Cricetulus griseus: one gene and its partners. The protein of the gene in region 4 purifies or fractionates together with the protein of the main gene of each other region. This does not show direct contact. Links are inferred from orthologs where the notes say so. Each region holds a gene or a part of one and is shown on either strand. Other genes may lie near its edges.

Region 1 (4,350 bases), on a different chromosome or scaffold from region 4:
GCGTCTTTGTCTCCTTAGAAGCTCTCTGTCTCCTAGCATGTTAAGTGTCTGCTTATGACTGTGTTCTCAACACTAGGCTTGGCTACACAGCTATTTCAGGCCAGCCTGGGGTAGATGTCACAAAGATTTTGTTATACCATCAAGTTTCTGCCTTCAATAGTCAGGGATAAAACCTATTTTCACTTGGGCTGGAGTGATGGCTCAGAGGTTAAGAGCACTGACTGTTTTTCCAGGGGTCCTGAGTTCATTTCCCAGCAACCACAACCATCTGTTGGCTCACAACCATCTGTTATGAGGTCCAGTGCCCTATTCTGATGTGCAGATATACATGGAAGCAGAATGTTGTATACGTAATAAATAAATAGATAGATAGATAGATAAAATGTAAAACAAAACAAAACAAAACAAAACTGTTTTCACTCAGGAATCAGTAACTCATAGCCCAAACCCAAGACTTCATTCATTTTGGAAACCAGTTGTAAATTAACCAGTTTGGTTAATTTCTCTGGTGATAGAAGGTGCCTTTATTATTTTTCTTTCATCAAGGAAGGACCTGGTGCACACTGAAAATGGTGGCAGGGTAGTCCGGTTTTCGCTTCCACAAGCTGTGAGATCTTTGAGGGGCCCTGTTCAGTCGTACCCATCACGGCATGCCTGTTCTGCCACATTAGATAATAAATACTGGTGGGATGTAGTCATGCTTCATACCTCGGTGTATAAATATGACTTTGGTTGGACAGGGAGCCGCACAACTTTCCCGTTTTTATTCTTTCTGCAGTTCTTAATTAAGGTTCTCCCGCACTGGGGCACTCCTTCATCTGCATGGGCTACGACAAACAGTTGGGTTTTATTTACTTCCACCTAAGCGAGATTTTGTAAACATTCAAGCCGAGTAAGGACGGTCCTCTCGGACAAATGAAAGCAAAATTCTTGGGACTAAGTGTACCCCGGCGAGGCAGGTCCTTTAGCTTGTCCTGTATCGCCTCTTAACTCCCCCAAACTAGATCCCGAGGGTCCGCGTGGGCATCCCGACCGCGCCCCCTGGCCAGCAGCAGCTTGATTCCTTCCCGTGAGGGTTACGCCCCAGGGCGCAAGTGGAGCGACTCAAGCGTTAAACAAGACAATGTAAAAGCAGTCTAGCCAAGAAGAGACAGTGTTATTTTGGCAGCTAGCTTCTCCCCCTGAGCCTCCACCCAATCCCTTGGGCCAGGCGCCCAGAGCTCAGACTGTGGCCGGCTCCAGAAGCCCAGCTCCCTCCACGTGTCCTGTCTTCCCAGCAGCCTCTCCGCCGCTTGGGGAGGAAAATCTCCTGACAACTCGCGGTCTGTGGACTACATCTCCCGGGAGGCACCGCGCCACTTCTCGCACCCACCACCGGCGCGCACGCGCCCTGCGCTCTGTCAACAAGCGGGGCTGGTGAAGATTGTGTGCGCTTCCTGATGGGATTTGTAGTTTCTCCGGCGCTCTCCGACCTGCCCATCAGACGCTCGAGGACTACAAGTCTCGGCTCTCCCGGCGCGGAGAGTCCGGTCACGTGTCAGGGGGCCGACCGGGCGTGCGTGCCGCCGTTGATCGGGTGCTGCAGTGAGGTGGTTGTCGCCCGTGTTGTGTGTGTGTGAGTGTGTGTGAGTGAGTGAGTGAGTGAGTGAGTGTGTGCGTGGGGGCACTCGGCTTGTTGTTGTCGGTGACTTCCCCCTTCCCTCCACCCCTCCCCTCCCCGGCCGCCGCTGCAGTGGCCGCTCCCTGGGCCGTAGGAAATGAGCGATAACGATGACATCGAGGTGGAGAGCGACGTGAGTCCCGGGGCTTCTTCCTTTCCGTTCGGGTTGTCAGGCGGGGACAGCGGCCGGGGCCCTCAGCGGGGCGACGGCGGGAGGGGGCCGGGTCGCCGCCGCCTCCGTCCCCTTCCCCCGGGGCCGGGACCGCCTGCGTCGCGCTCCGCGCTCGCTCCCCTCCAGTCCTGTCCGGAGAGGCCTCCTGGGACTGAAGGTGGGAGCAGACACGCGGCCTCTGGGACCCCCACCTCCTCCCGTGGAGGAGGGTGCCGAGGCCTCCCTCTCCACTCTATCCGGCTGGGGATCCCATTATCCGTCCGGATCCTGGGCAAGGAGACCAGCGCTCAGGACCTGCTTCTTGGGTCCACGATCTCCTTTTACCCGTGGACCCGTTGATCCTGGGGGTGAGGGGACTGGGAGTGAGTGCTCTGACTCCCGAGGGGGGTCCGGGGAGAGCAGTGTGCTCCGGACCCCTCTTGTCCGGTTCGGATGCCAGAAAGAGGGGCGGCGCCTGGGACCCCCACCAGGCTGCGGGATCCCGCTGGAGAGAGTGGAGGGGAAAGAGGGAGGGAGGGGTGTCGGGCTGACTCCCCACCCGCTGCTTCCTCCGCCGCCGGCATTTTCTTTCTTATTATTGAATTCGAAGTGTAAAAATAACTTCTATATTTTCTATTTTTTTTTCTCTCTTATTCCAGGAAGAGCAACCGAGGTTTCAATCTGCGGTACGTCTCCTACTCTCCATTTCATTTTCATTTCCGTTCAGTTTTGGTCCTTTTTGGAGTCAGAGAGAAAAAGTGATCGTTCTTTATTTTTTAATATTCTTGTAAACTCTCCTCTTAACCGCTAAGGTGAGGTGGAGTCAGCTGGGGTTGGAGGTGGGGGGGTGGGGGGCTGCAAATCCTATGATTCTGGCTTCTCAGGTGGTAGATCCTAGTGAGTAGGTAGGTGAGTGAGAGAGCGAGCCCCATGCTAAAACTGAGTTGTTCTGGAGTGTTCAGTTAAGGATGCAGCCCAGGCACGTGAGAAGTGAAGGGTAGTGTTATTTCAGAGCAGACTTACAGGTCAGGTTTACTTAGGAGCAAGTAAGCTTTAAGCACTATCTGCACAGTTGTGTGAAGCTGCAAGCACAGTAATAATCGCCTTTAGCCAAAGTCACATGACTGCCACCACAGACTCTTAAAACTAGAAAAGCATGCTATTCTCAACAATAGCAACAACAACAAAATAGAAACAGGGAGGAGCCAGAAGTTAAATCTTGAAAGTGTCACAGCTTCTTGTGGTCTGACTTTCCATTTGAGAAGAAAAAAAAAAAAAAAGGTTGAAAAGTGGCATTGTAGGAGACAGCTACGCTAAAAGGTGTCCGGATGAGTCCATACAGTGTTACCAGTAACTTCTTAGGGTTTTGATGTTAAAGCTTTTTGTAGGTGTCTCTCTGGTGGATTTGGGTTGACACCATGAGCTCTTGTCTTTAGAGTCTGAGACTTAGTAGTAAATGGGTATAGATTAGGGAGAGGGAAGAAGACTGAGAATACATCCAGATCAGAAGAGAGACGACAAGTGTTATATTTGATAGTTGGCAATGGTGAAAAGGGTGTACAGGGAGGGCCATAATGCCTTTGCCTGTGGGGATTAGGTAATGAGGTAGTCAAGGATAGAGGGAGAGGTAAGGACTGGGATACTGAGGAATGCATGCCCCTTGTAGAAAGTCCGAAGCCACCTAGCTCTGGTGCTTGCTGTATGAGAGTGAGCTCAGTGTTGCTAGGTCTTATTGTTATTTCAGGGCTGGGGTTAGACCCTTTACCACTGAGCCACACTCCCTCGATTTTCCTACTTTAAGAGAAATGTTAAAATGCTAGAAACAGATTATTATTTTTCCAGTGTATTTGCGTGTAGTTTTTGGCTATTCTGGGACTTGAACCCAGGGCCCTCGGCATGCCCGGGGCCTGGCTATAACCTCAGCCTACTCAATTGATTTTTTAAGGTTACATTCACTTATTTAATGTGTGTTTGTGATTGTGTGCATGCCATGGCTCACATGTAACGGTCAGAGGACAACTTGAGGGAGTGGGGTTTCTCCTTCCAGCATGTGGGTCTGGGGTTGAACTTAGGATCATCAGGTTTGGCCTCAACAACTTTACCCACGAAGCTATTTGATTTTTAAATGATATGTGGAACAGCTGTTTGGGGGCTTATAGAGAATTAGCTGGATGCAACTAGGCTTGGTTGCCCAGTCCCGTGAACGCCCTTACTCGGGATGCCGAGGTAGGAAGATCAGAAGTTCAGGCCTGTTTTCAGCAATTTATTGAGGCCCAGCCTTAACATACCAAAAAAAAAAAAAAAAAAGAGTCCACGGTTGTATCCAGTTCTGTAGGCCCAGTGCTTAGGAGGCTTTGGCAGAGGGTTGCCCTGGTTTAGAGGCTGGCCTGAGCTACAGAATGAGATTCTGTCTCAAACAAACAAGAGCTCTCTACCTTTGTCTCTCTCTCTCGCTTGGGAATTTAGCTCCTTAGGACACTTAACTTTCAGTAGGCCCTGGTTCATCCCTAGCACTGAAGTTTGCAGGGTGCCACTTTGA
Region 2 (4,174 bases), on a different chromosome or scaffold from region 4:
TGATAGACTAGAGAAAAATGCCAATGGGTGAACTCAGCCTCAATCTTTGTGACTGGGAGATTGTGAAATTTTTCTCAGTGACAGAAATACCACATATGCCAGTGTTTAAACTTACACGAAGTGCTTTAACAATCCTATTATTAGAAATAACACAGTGGTATATATAGTTTAAAAAGAGAGGATTACTTTTTTTTTTTTGGTATAACATACCAGAGGGTAAATGGAATTGTCCTAAGGAAAAATGCTAAATTCAGACTGAATGAATTAATTTTTAAAAACTGCACTCTTGAATCATGTATAATGCTTCCTGGGCATCTGGAAATATGCCCAAGAAAATATATACCTTGTAGGTAAAATATAACTGCAACTGGGGATGGGACCAGAAGGTAACTGATTCTTAAGAGGTTAACTGGTCATCATTATGGTTTAAATGCTCACAAGATGGTGAAGTCTTCACTTTTAAGTGCAAATCGAGTATGCTTTGACTGTTTCTAAACCATTATGCTGCCCTTTCTGCCGTGGAGCAGTACTGTCAGAGCAGCAGTGGGTGTTGTAATTTGGAGTAAAGAAATTATTTGAAATTTTTGTTTTCTCAGAAGAATCAGGGAGAACAAACGTGACACATATGTAAAACACAGTCAAATGCACTTGACAACCAAGCACTCTATTTTGAAATTTAAATAAAGCTAAGATTTTTCTTCTGGCCTAGGGGGAAAACTTCATTAAAATCCATTAATTAGTACAAACCTCCCGAGAATACGGACTTTTAAATTTTTTTTTAAATGAGAAAGTTTAAAGAATAAGGTGCACACAATTACCTTTCCTGGTTCCCTAGTGAATGTCATTGTCACACCTAGACAGGTGGCCAAGTGCAAACAAATGTCCCCGAGAGGGTCCGGTAGGTAACTCCCTGAGCGCTCATCGGAGGGAACCATGTGTAATTAATAGATGTCCATCTATTAAGAATGTAATGCACGCAACCAAGGAGGCTCCCAGCGGACCGCGGGCACCTCCCGCTGCGAAGGGCAGGCCCGGGGAAACGTAAAGTTGGAGGCGGGCGCAGCCAGGTGAGGCCTGGGTCGCGGAGGTTGGGGCCCGCACAGCTGCAGGCGCGCGCGCCTGGTCCCTCCTCCCAGCCGCCGAGTCCTCCCCGCCCCCTCCCCGAGCTCCCGCCGCCTCCCGCTGCCTCCGGGAGGCTGGGCGCTGCGCTCCACCTCGCGCCCCCTCTCCTCCGTCCCGGGCTCGCGCTGCCCTCCCCGCGCCTGCCCCCTCCCCGGCCCCTCCCTCCCTCCCTCCGCCTCCGCGCGCGGCGCTCGCAGAGCCGACTCCGGGGGGCTCTCGATGTAGCACCATGACAGGCATCGCCGCCGCCTCCTTCTTCTCCAACACCTGCCGCTTCGGGGGCTGCGGACTCCACTTCCCCACGCTGGCCGACCTCATCGAGCACATCGAGGACAACCACATCGGTGAGGCCCGGTGGGCGGGCGGGGAGGGGTCGGGCGGCGCGGCGGCGGCGGCGGGCGAGCCTCGGGGGCGCGGGCGGCCGGGCGCCCGAAAGGTGCGGGCGTGGAGGGCCGCGGGGCGCGGGCGGGCGGGCGGGCGGGGGTGGCCGGCCGCAGGGCGAGGCGAGGGCGGGGCGCGGGCCGCGGGGGGGCGGGTGCCGCACGCCGCTTCCGCCCGGCCCGAGCTGTCAGGCTGGCGGGAGCCGGGGAGGGCGCCGCCGCGGCAGCCATTCCGCTTCCTCCCCCGCCTGCGTCCTGTCAGCGCCGGTTGCTAGGTGTGGCGCGGCGGGAGGGGGCCGCGGCGGCGGCAGGCGCGGGGCGCTGCGAGCTCGGAGCGGCGCGGGGCGCGGGGCCCGGCCTGGCGCTGCCGCTGCGGTTCGGACGCCTGCGGGCCGCGCCCATCCCCGTCCGGAGCGCCCCGAGGCCCCGGGCGGCGGAGCGGAGCCCGGGCGGCGAGCGGCGTGGCGCGGCGCGGCGTTGCGGCTAGGCCGGAGGTGCGCCCGGACCCGCGGGGCCTGCGCGGCGCTGGCGCGGGGACGCGGGGAGGGGCGCCCTGCGGGGCCGGCTGGGTCTCCCGGGACCCTGGGACCTTCTGAGTGCTGCGCCTCGCGGAAGTCCTTGCACCACGTTTGCACGCTCATCCCTGCCTCTCTGCGGAGGGAGATGCCAGGTCGGGTGCTTCTGGCTCAGGAGACCCAGCCACCTGCAAAAGGTGTGGCCCTGTGGGTTTGGAAGGTGAAGAGGGCCTCGGGCTGCCTGGGTGAGGAGGCTACCTGTGAATTGCCTTGGGAAGACCACATGAATGCAATCGATTGGGCCATGTGGATGCAGCTCACGTTTCTGCAAAGTTGAGAGAGTAAATCACGACTGCTGTGCATTTATGCACGAATGAAATGACACAGAGCTTTTTGCCCCTTTGCTTTGTAGAATGCTTTCTCCTTGCACACAGTGGGCGCTTAGTGAGCGGGAAGTGCCTGTGTAGAACAGGATTTGATGGGCTGTCCAGAATGGGAACTAAATCGTGAAAATTGTTTGCAAGGTGCCATTGGAAACAGAATTCTGATGAGTAATTGTCAGGCTTTGAAATTTTCAAAGTTTGAAAATATCTCCTTAATAGCTTTTCCCATCTCTTCTGATAAAAGTGAGATAAAAGAGCTAGGCTCTCAAGTTTTGGTGATCTTAAAAGTGTTTTGATAGAGTTGCAAACCTGCTGATTCATATCATAACTGAGTAGTCATAACTAAAAGTGCTTCAAGTATAAAGCAAGTTTTCTCATCACGGCTTAAACTCTAGCGAGTTTCAAAAGAAGAATTCTTGGTTCACTCTTAACTTCTTAAACTAAATGGGGATGATAAATGTAAATAATAGAAATACACAAATATGCATTATGTAAATATGTGTGAATGGTAGCCCCTGACCTATAGAAAACTCATTGATTGTCCCATCCATTTCATCAGTTATATCAGGATAAACAAAAATTCATGTAAGTTGAGTAATTTACCTGGTTGCTTACCTACTTAGACTACTAGCTGATTAAAAGAAAATATAAATATTTAATTAAGTGTTAACATGAATTAAACACAATTATTCTTTTGAATTAACTTGCAATCAGATTATTTAGACTAGCAGTCTCTTTCTTGAGTTGGTAGAGGTTGTCCCAATATTGTTCAGATATCTTTTAGGAGGGTCAAGGGTTTATGAATTTTCTGAAACTAAACTTCTAACGGATGATATCTTACTCCCAAAGGGCTAATATTTTTCTTTTTATAGTGAAAGTATTGAAAACTTAAGTTAGTTGTTTGGCAGAGATAATAATTAATTATACTTGGGAAATAGTTTGATCCAGCAAAGTTACTGAAAATAGATGTTAAAAGAGCAAACACTTGATTCCAAGCACACTGGAACGGCTGTGTGTTTCAGATGAGAAGAGGCCCCTTACCTTTGAAGGGCAGCCAGCCATACAGATAGAGATAGGAATTGATCCCACCAAGAATAATATCTAGGTTAGCTGGTACTGTTTAAATACACTTTGAATGGAGAGGTAAGAGTTAAAATAAGTTCCATGAAAACTCTACATTTTTATTATTTATTGTGATTTCCTTCATACACTTTTGGAGATAATGAGATTTTTTTTTAAATGGTTGCTTTACTGATTTAATGTCTTAATTAGCTAGTGGCCACATTAAAGATTCATGGAAAGACCCAAGATGTGCATGTTATTTTACTTTCATTCAAGGTTCTTATTTAGTCTTGTATATAACCTTGAGAGGGTGAGAGATATGACTCTTTTTGAACTGTTACCATTTAATCGCTAGTCAAAAGCACAGACAGAAATTTCAAAGCCTGTAGTTTTCACTGTAACTACATTAAGTTGTGGATGACAGTCTTCCTTATGAAGGTGTACTTAGCTGCTTTTTTATATGCATGGCGGTTCTGACTGCCTTGTCACCTTCAGAACACATTGGTTTTACCTCGAAGTGCCATCCGCAACTCGTTTTTGCCTCTTCCCATTTTTAGTAAGGAACAAGGGTCTGTGACATCAAAGACAAAAGAAATGTGCTTCCAGAAGCCCTTGTCTTAAGCTGTTTTTCTCCTTAAAGACACTGTACCTGTTCTGATTTGCTTTCTGCTTTTATTCCTTTCGTCTTCCTGTTAGTTCAGCACTGTAGTGA
Region 3 (4,416 bases), on a different chromosome or scaffold from region 4:
TGTGTTTAGTTTTGACAGGCTTTCCGTGTGTGATTCTCCTGATGCAGCCTACTAAGTGCTGGGATTGTAGATTCACAGTTTTTTTTTTTTAATTGTCATCATATGATGGCATCACTATAATTCTTTAGTTCCAATAAGCCATGGCATCAAAACTGCTGGGAGCCTCTCCTCTAGCCATTAATCTCCTGGCACCAGAGAGGGCCTCAAATTTCATAAAACATTTCAAACTGAAGCCCAAATATAGAGTTTATGCTTCAAAATTCTCTTCACATTACTATTCAATTACATAAAAAGTGTAATGTACCGTTGAGCTGGTGATGACTCCATGGGTAAAAGTGCTGTGTAAGCATGCTTGAGTTCCATCCCTGCAACCCATGTACAGGTGGAGAGAGGGAGAGCCCACTCCACAGGTTGTCATCTGATTTCCACAAAGTCTTCATGGCATGTGCACCTGCAACCACCCACACAATAATTTTTCTTATTTAAAGAGTTAAACATTAAGTACTGTAAATATGAAAGATTTAGATCATTATGGTCTCCAAGCAGCTAAGTGATGTACACAGGGATTGTCGACCTGCTAACTGCACGTCTAAGTGACTGGCATCAGGACAGGACCGTGTGTACGTACAGTCCTACTTTTTCTTTTTTAAGCCCGGCATTTGTAATTGATTACATGAACCATCTGTGGCTGCTTGTGAATCATGTTACAGTTACCCCACTGACATTTACCCAACATTTTTCATGTGGCAAAATGTTTAGTGTCGGAAAGCTGACACATAATAGCTTTGATGATTCAATAAATCAACTTTAGACACCAGGCTATAGGCGCATCCCCATTGATGTGGAGTCTCTCTCGGCAAAATTATGGCTGATGATTTCATTATAATAACGCTTCATCCTGAGCTTCCTGTGTGTAGACAAAATTATTTGTTATCACCAAGGTAACTTGACCCCCACGGTTGTTACGAGACAGGATGGGAGGGTGAGGGGGGCGGTCAAAAGAGGTGAGGACCGGAGCGGAGGAAGATGAAAAACAACCTCCGGCGGGGGTAAGAGACGGTCTCTCAGGGAAGTGCTTCAGCAAGTGCGGGCCGAGCCGAGCTCCTCTCACTGGAGGCCTTCGCGCCACCTGTCACAAAGGAGGGGCCCGCGGGGAACCGAGGTCTGCGGGGAGGGGGGGGGGACGGCCAGGCCGACCGGAGGACGCTGCGAGGCCCAGGCTGGACCGGGAGGCGAGCTCACGTGGTCTCCCGCACACCGCGGGAGGACGCCCGCGCGCCCGTCCCCAGCCTCTCAGCCCCGCCCTCCAGGCACGTGACCCCGCGTCCGCTCTCGCGCTCGCCCGCGCTCCCTCCTCGGTGGCGCAGGGCTCTGTGTCTGCCCTCCCGCCGCGGCGCCCTTCCCCTCCCGGTCCCGTCCCGCCGCCTCCCCCACTCTTCCCCCTCCCCACCCCTCGCGCGCCAATCACGGCTCGAGCTCGCGAGCGCCCGCCCCACCACCCTGCTTCGCGCCCTCCCATTGGCCGGAGCCTCAAGGACGCGTCCCGAAGGCGGGCGGCGACCATTGGTGGGCCGAGCCAGCCGAGTTCCCGGATGAGGGAACATTCTGCGGTATAAAGGGCGCGAGGAAGGCGGGAGACGGCGCAGTTTGAATCGCGGTACGACGGAGGAGTGGGCGCCGGGATCTCGCTGTGCGTCCGCCTGGCCTCGTCTCTTGCTCGCTTGTGCGATCTTCAGCACGGTCCGAGATGGTAACGTGAGAGTGACGGCGGGCCGCCGGGCGGGGGGCGGCGGCGGCCGCGAGCTGCGGGCTTGGAGCGGGCGGGGCCGCCGTCGCCGGGGCTTGGGCGAGGCGGCGGCGGCGGGCGGGAGCGTGCGGAGACGGGTCGGGGACGAGCGGAGGGAGGTGTTTGGTTGAGCTCGGAGCTCCGGGAGGGAGGCGACGGTTGGAGGGGGGCGCGCGCGGCGCAGCTGGGAGCCGGCGCGGGGCGCGCGCGGGGCGCGCGGCGGGGGTCGGCGGGCGGGCGGGGAGAGAGGGCGGGGGCGAGCGGCGGCCCGGAGACCCCGGCGGGCCGCGAGCGCGCGCCCGCCGCCCGCCCGCCCGCCTGCTCGCTCGCCCGCCTCCGGGACGCGCGGCCGTGGGGGAGGGGCGCGCCGCTCCGCGCCGCCTTGGTAATTCTATCCTCTCCGTCCCTCCCGGGCTCGCGGGCGTCGGCGGCGCCGCAGGCTGGCGGTAAGGCTGGAAAGGACTCCGGAAAGGCCAAGACAAAGGCGGTTTCCCGCTCGCAGAGAGCCGGCTTGCAGGTAGGCAGCTGCTGCCGCAGACGCAGCCCGGGTGACCCGGCCTTTATCTTTGCACCCCCTGGCTTGTTTGTCGGCGCCTCGCATGGGTGTTCCATCTTTTGCGTGGGTGATGTGTCGCGACTTGGCCTTCGGAGACTGAATGTTGGGGCGGCGGGGGCTGGTGGGGGGGGCGTCGATCGCGTGTGCTAACTGCCCGGGCGCCTTGGTGCACCACCGTCCTTGGCTTTGGCGCGCGCGCGCATCATCTTTCCATCTCTGAATCTCCTCTATCTTTGTGCATTTTTGTTTGTGTGCATAAAAAAAAATCAAGTTCCCTGTGGGCCGTATTCATCGACACCTGAAATCTAGGACAACCAGCCACGGCCGTGTGGGCGCGACCGCCGCTGTGTATAGCGCAGCCATCCTGGAGTACCTCACCGCAGAGGTAAGCGGGAGTGAGTATGCCTGTGATCTGGAAAAGGTTTGGGGGGCGGGGGGGGGAAAGTGGGCGAGAGGGAAGGAGGAAAGTGATGCAAGAAAACTCCCAGGCCCTAAGCGCGGCGCTTAGGCAGAGAGAGGGCGCTAGAGGGAGCTAGTGTTCAGCCAAGGATCCCGCTGAGCCAGAGTTTGCTGCTGTTGCAAAAGCAATTGCGTGCCCCTTCAGTCCTTTGCATCATTTGCATAGTTTTGTCATTCAGGTAGTGGGGGGATGACGACAGTTGGTGGGTTAAACACCACTGACGTTTAGCCAGCTTCCTGGATCTTGACTGAAGGGAATTGGAAAATTGATCAGAATTTTGCCTTTTAGGTACTAGAATTGGCAGGAAATGCATCAAAAGACTTAAAGGTAAAGCGTATTACCCCTCGTCACTTGCAACTTGCTATTCGCGGGGATGAAGAATTGGACTCTCTGATCAAGGCTACAATTGCTGGTGGTGGTATGTTATCACTGACACTCGGTTACTTTCCAATAAGAAAATTCCTACATTTTCATTGCTTCCAGAAGAGGGCATTTAAATATATTTTATAAATCATGGTGGTTTATGGAATTTGGTTTACACAACATCATTCATCATTTTACTTTATGTTTGAATTTTTTTTTAAGACCTTTCAAGTTGTAGATTTACCTGCTTTGATTTCATGTACTGTTTCAAAATGTTTCTACAAAAAGTAGAATTAATCCTTGTCACTTTCCTAGGTGTCATCCCACACATCCACAAATCTCTGATTGGAAAGAAAGGACAACAGAAGACTGTCTAAGGATGCCTGGATTCCTTATTATCTCAGGACTCTAAATATTCTTAACAGCTGTCCAGTGTCGGTGATTCCAGTGGACTGTATCTCTGTGAAAAACACAATTTTGCCTTTTTGTAATTCTATTTGAGCAAGTTGGAGGCTTAATTAGCCTTCCAGCCAACCAAATTTCTGCATTCGAGTCTTAACCATATTTAAGTGTTACTGTGGCTTCAAAGAAGCTATTGATTCTGAAGTAGTGGGTTTTGATTGAGTTGACTGTTTTTAAAAAACTGTTTGGATTTTAATTGTGATGCAGAAGTTATAGTAACAAACATTTGGTTTTGTACAGACATTATTTCCACTCTGGTGGATAAGCTCAATAAAGGTCATATCCCAAACTAGTTTTAAACTTGCTTGATGATTACTACTAGATCTCATTCAGCTCCCCTACCTTCTTTGCTTACTAATCAAACACTTCATCTGTAGACCAACAAGTCATAACCAATTTGTCATAATGAACTAGGCATGCTGTTGGACATTCACAGTAACTGTGAAAGGCACTGTATCACAATTTGGGACAGCTGGACCGGTAGAGACCCCCAGGTATAACATAATAACCTCCACAGAATGAACTTAAGATGTAGAAGTTAAATCATTCTCAGTGACCAGACACTGTTGTCAACTGTGAAATGCTAGTCACAGGGGATGCGTGCTATTTTCATAGACTAGGGTAACATGATGAAAACATTGATACATATCAGGCATGTTCCTTAAGAGCTTGAGAAAACGCATCTGCCCCTTTCACCCTACCGAGACAACATGCGTGCTCCTTTCTGAGGCAAAAATTGGTAACAGGAGGTGGTATGCATGCAACCTCTGCAGATGAGAGAACTGCTTC
Region 4 (3,715 bases):
GTGCTTGCAAAATTGTGGAAAGATAATAGAGACTCTAGAGATTAGAAACTAGAGACCTGGTTTGAATCTCAGACCTAGCATACTATTGGTTTTGTGATCTTGGGCAGCTTAACTATATTGAGACTTAGTTTCCTATTTTATTAATGGTGGCATATATACTTCACAGGGATGTGTTAAGGATTAAATGACATAGAAAATGTGAGACAAAAATAGTAATAGCATGTAATTGGGTGGGGTGTGATGGCACACGCCTTTAATCCCAGCATCCTAGGAGGCAGAGGCAGGTGGATCTCGGTGAGTTCAAGGCCAACCTGGTACACGGAAACCCTGTCTCAAAACCCAAAATAAAACACATTGATACTTGATTAAAGATAATTGATTTATAGAGTGCTCAACTTTAGCAGAAGTGGCAGGGTTTTTTTTTCTCACTTTTCTTTTTCTTCCTTTTTTTGTTTTTTTTTTGTTTTTTGTTTTGTTTTTGTTTTTGAGACAGGGTCTTGATATTGAGGTCAGGCTGTCCAGGATTTCACTTTGTAGCCATGGAACTCTTTGTTCCTCAGCCTCTTGCCTGTCATACTAGTCATTTTATTTTATTGTTGCTTATTTTTCCTCAGAGAAAATAACTACTTGTTTTTAATATATACAGTGTATAATTGGGCACTTGGGATCATAGCTTGGAGGAAGATTTTTAGAAGAGGTTAAAGAAAGTAGGGGTGTAGTTATGAGTTTATTCAATACAGGAGTTACTTTCATTCTTTGAAACTATAAACAAAATTCTTGATTAAGTCCTAGAGTGGCTATTGCTTCTTGTTTATGTGCTTTCTTTCCTCATTTTGTGTACCTCTTTGTCTGTTAGGTGCTCCCACTCTTTCCCGGCTTTTAGAAGCTGGTCCTACACAGTTCACCACTCCTCTTCCTTCCTTCACTACTGTTGCCAGTGAGCCTCCAGTTAAACTTGTGCCACCCCCTGTAGAGTCTGTGTCCCAGGCTACCATTGTCATGATGCCTCCGCTGTCAACACCATCCTCTGCTCCGGCTGTCTCCACTCCTGAAAGTGTAGCTCCAGGTTCGTCCCTGACCCACAGGACCAAACTTTAGTTAGAGAAAGTTGACCAAGAGCATTGTCTCCTGTTTAGATGCTTCTCTTCTGTTTTCAATAGGCTTAAATCATCTTTACCCTTAAAAAAGCAAGGGTCAAAGTGGGTGGGTATCTTTTGAGTTGGGTGGGGAAGGTTAAGTGTAGAAATATAAGCAGGCTTGAGAGCGTATTCTCACCTTACTTTGAAAATAAAATGAAGGAGAAGAAAACATGGGCAGAAGTGAGTTTTTTACTTTAGGTGTCTACAGCTCTGGTGTGATATCGGGGTGGTACCACACTTAATAATGGATAAGCTTCTGAGTTGCTTCTTTCTTCTTGTTAATTAGTGAATCAGCCTGACACCTGTGTTCCCCTGGAAGCTGTCGGGGATCCACATACTGTGACTGTTTCCATGGATAGCAGTGAAATCTCGATGATCATTAATTCTATCAAAGAAGAATGTTTCCGGTCAGGGGTAGCAGAGGCTCCTGGTGGATCAAAGGCTCCAAGCATAGATGGGAAGGAAGATTTAGATCTGGCCGAGAAGATGGATATTGCTGTGTCTTACACAGGTGAAGAGTTGGACTTTGAAACAGTTGGAGACATCATTGCCATCATTGAGGACAAGGTAACTATTTAACAAAATACTAAAACGTCTCCCAGGTACTACATAGACCACCCTCTTCTTCCTTTCTTTGATTTGCCTAGTAAGAATTATTTAACTGTACTTTTGCCCATTTTCGTTTTTGTAGTCTGATGTACTACTTACCTTCTCTGCCATCCCACTTGCTTGTTTGCTCAGCACAAGTTTCTATCCACTTGTTGCTTCCACTAAATGGTAAAGGTAGAGAACATAGCTTTAGACTCAGCATCTAATAAAGTACTATGAAATTGGGGGATGTGGGCTTTTTCTGTATTCTCAACAATTTGTGTATTTTGGGCAGGTTGATGATCACCCTGAAGTCCTGGATGTGGCAGCTGTAGAAGCAGCACTGTCATTCTGTGAAGAAAATGATGATCCGCAGTCCCTGCCTGGCCCTTGGGAGCACCCTATCCAGCAGGAGCGGGACAAGCCAGTACCTCTTCCAGCACCAGAGATGACAGTTAAACAAGAGAGGCTAGACTTTGAGGAAGCAGAAAACAAAGGAATTCATGAACTGGTAGACATCAGGGAGTCAGGAGTTGAGATTAAGGTGGAACCTGCAGAGCCAGAGCCAGGCATGTCAGGCTCAGAGATCGTAGCTGGAGCTGGTCCAGTCTCAAGTATGGAGCCACCAGAACTCAGAAGTCAAGACTTAGATGAAGAACCTAGAAGTTGTGCAGCTGGAGAGATTTGTGAAACAGATGGTTCCAATGGGAAAGGCGATGAGATGCCACTTTCATCTGTGAAGACAGAGGTATTTAATATGACTGGGCTGGGAAGAGGGGAAGGAGGGTTATGACTTAGGCAGCTTAGGCCCTTGAATTTCTGAGTCTTGACATATTGCACATACCTAAAGCCACAGGCTGCAACTAGTACTATACTCACCCTATCTTGAAAAGGTGATCGTTAAAATATTAGACAATAGAACTTAGGATTTCTTCTATGGCCTCATTATCATTGGAGAATAAAATTATGGGAGCAATAACAGTGTATTAGTAATTAGAATACTTACTCTTTTTTGATCTTCAGGCATCCCCTGAAAGCATGTTGTCTCCATCACATGGCTCAAATCCTATTGAAGATCCTTTAGAGGCAGAGACGCAACACAAGTTTGAATTGTCAGGTAAGTAAAGGATAGGAACTGTGTATCTAACTTGAAATCTTTTCCTTTGGCTTCTCAGGGTTTGTGGGTTGTGGGTAAGTAGAGGAGTAGGACAGGACAGCATGGAAAGAAAGGAGAGCTGCAGGGAAGGAGCATGGTCCACAGGAAGGGGAAGGCTAAGGTACAAAATCTTCAGGTAGTCTTTCTCTCCTCTGCAGACTCATTGAAAGAAGAATCAGGGACTATTTTTGGAAGCCAGATAAAGGTATTTCAGACTTTTCTTTATTCTTCTTGTCATATGACTAGATTTTCCCACACTACTGTCTTATTAAATGAATTTTAGTAAATTCATATCTTCTGGTAAAACTGGTAGGAAGCTGGATGAGGAAGTAGTAGTAGACAGTAGTAGACAGTCTGGCCTGATGGGAGTACAGTAGCAACATGTGCTTCCCTGTGAGAGCTATAAAGATCACGTAGTTTCTCTGAATATAGTGCACAAAGAAATTTTGATACATCCAGAATGACTCAGAGTGAATAGAGGCACTAGGAAGAACATATGGGGAATCAGGTTACAATTTAGACTATTGAAAGAAAATTATCTGGTTTTGTCTTAGAATTACTAAAGTAATAGTAACAGATTTAAAGCAATATGAGGTGAGCTTGCTCCATCAGCAAAGACATGAAATAAAACGATTTTTGATAACTTTGTACCCAGGGTCAGAGTTCCTCTCAAGAGCAAGGGGAAAGAAGGAACGCCTCTTAGCTTAGTCTTAAGTAAGTAGCTTTTTTTTTTTTTTTTTTTTTCCTTCCTTTAAAAAAGATCCTGGGCTTTATTCTTTGTCCAGGTTCTAAATTACTTTATCTTACTTAGTCAGTTAAGTAGAGGGTAGTA

The links. The genes of interacting proteins can lie anywhere in the genome.
Region 1: the proteins of Brd8 (region 4) and Max purify together in Homo sapiens (affinity purification with mass spectrometry; 3 studies listed by BioGRID, with this or other methods). This does not show direct contact. The link is inferred for Cricetulus griseus from reciprocal best matches to the Homo sapiens genes BRD8 and MAX.
Region 2: the proteins of Brd8 (region 4) and Jazf1 purify together in Homo sapiens (affinity purification with mass spectrometry; 3 studies listed by BioGRID and IntAct, with this or other methods). This does not show direct contact. The link is inferred for Cricetulus griseus from reciprocal best matches to the Homo sapiens genes BRD8 and JAZF1.
Region 3: the proteins of Brd8 (region 4) and histone H2A.Z purify together in Homo sapiens (affinity purification with mass spectrometry; 4 studies listed by BioGRID and IntAct, with this or other methods). This does not show direct contact. The link is inferred for Cricetulus griseus from reciprocal best matches to the Homo sapiens genes BRD8 and H2AZ1.

The regions. Positions count from the first base shown.
Region 1 is NC_048598.1:126,561,264-126,565,613, forward strand, and holds the start of Max (protein max), read left to right. Parts: upstream 1-1,527; 5' UTR 1,528-1,757; coding exon 1,758-1,793; intron 1,794-2,470; coding exon 2,471-2,497; intron 2,498-4,350. UniProt on the Homo sapiens protein: Transcription regulator. Forms a sequence-specific DNA-binding protein complex with MYC or MAD which recognizes the core sequence 5'-CAC[GA]TG-3'. The MYC:MAX complex is a transcriptional activator, whereas the MAD:MAX complex is a repressor.
Region 2 is NC_048601.1:88,255,704-88,259,877, forward strand, and holds the start of Jazf1 (juxtaposed with another zinc finger protein 1), read left to right. Parts: upstream 1-1,351; coding exon 1,352-1,466; intron 1,467-4,174. UniProt on the Homo sapiens protein: Acts as a transcriptional corepressor of orphan nuclear receptor NR2C2. Inhibits expression of the gluconeogenesis enzyme PCK2 through inhibition of NR2C2 activity.
Region 3 is NW_023276806.1:21,775,344-21,779,759, reverse strand, and holds histone H2A.Z, read left to right. Parts: upstream 1-1,593; 5' UTR 1,594-1,747; coding exon 1,748-1,750; intron 1,751-2,225; coding exon 2,226-2,303; intron 2,304-2,613; coding exon 2,614-2,727; intron 2,728-3,090; coding exon 3,091-3,220; intron 3,221-3,480; coding exon 3,481-3,542; 3' UTR 3,543-3,920; downstream 3,921-4,416. UniProt on the Homo sapiens protein: Variant histone H2A which replaces conventional H2A in a subset of nucleosomes. Nucleosomes wrap and compact DNA into chromatin, limiting DNA accessibility to the cellular machineries which require DNA as a template.
Region 4 is NC_048595.1:202,869,397-202,873,111, forward strand, and holds part of Brd8 (bromodomain-containing protein 8), read left to right. Parts: intron 1-856; coding exon 857-1,066; intron 1,067-1,425; coding exon 1,426-1,706; intron 1,707-2,022; coding exon 2,023-2,475; intron 2,476-2,750; coding exon 2,751-2,844; intron 2,845-3,041; coding exon 3,042-3,088; intron 3,089-3,715. UniProt on the Homo sapiens protein: May act as a coactivator during transcriptional activation by hormone-activated nuclear receptors (NR). Isoform 2 stimulates transcriptional activation by AR/DHTR, ESR1/NR3A1, RXRA/NR2B1 and THRB/ERBA2.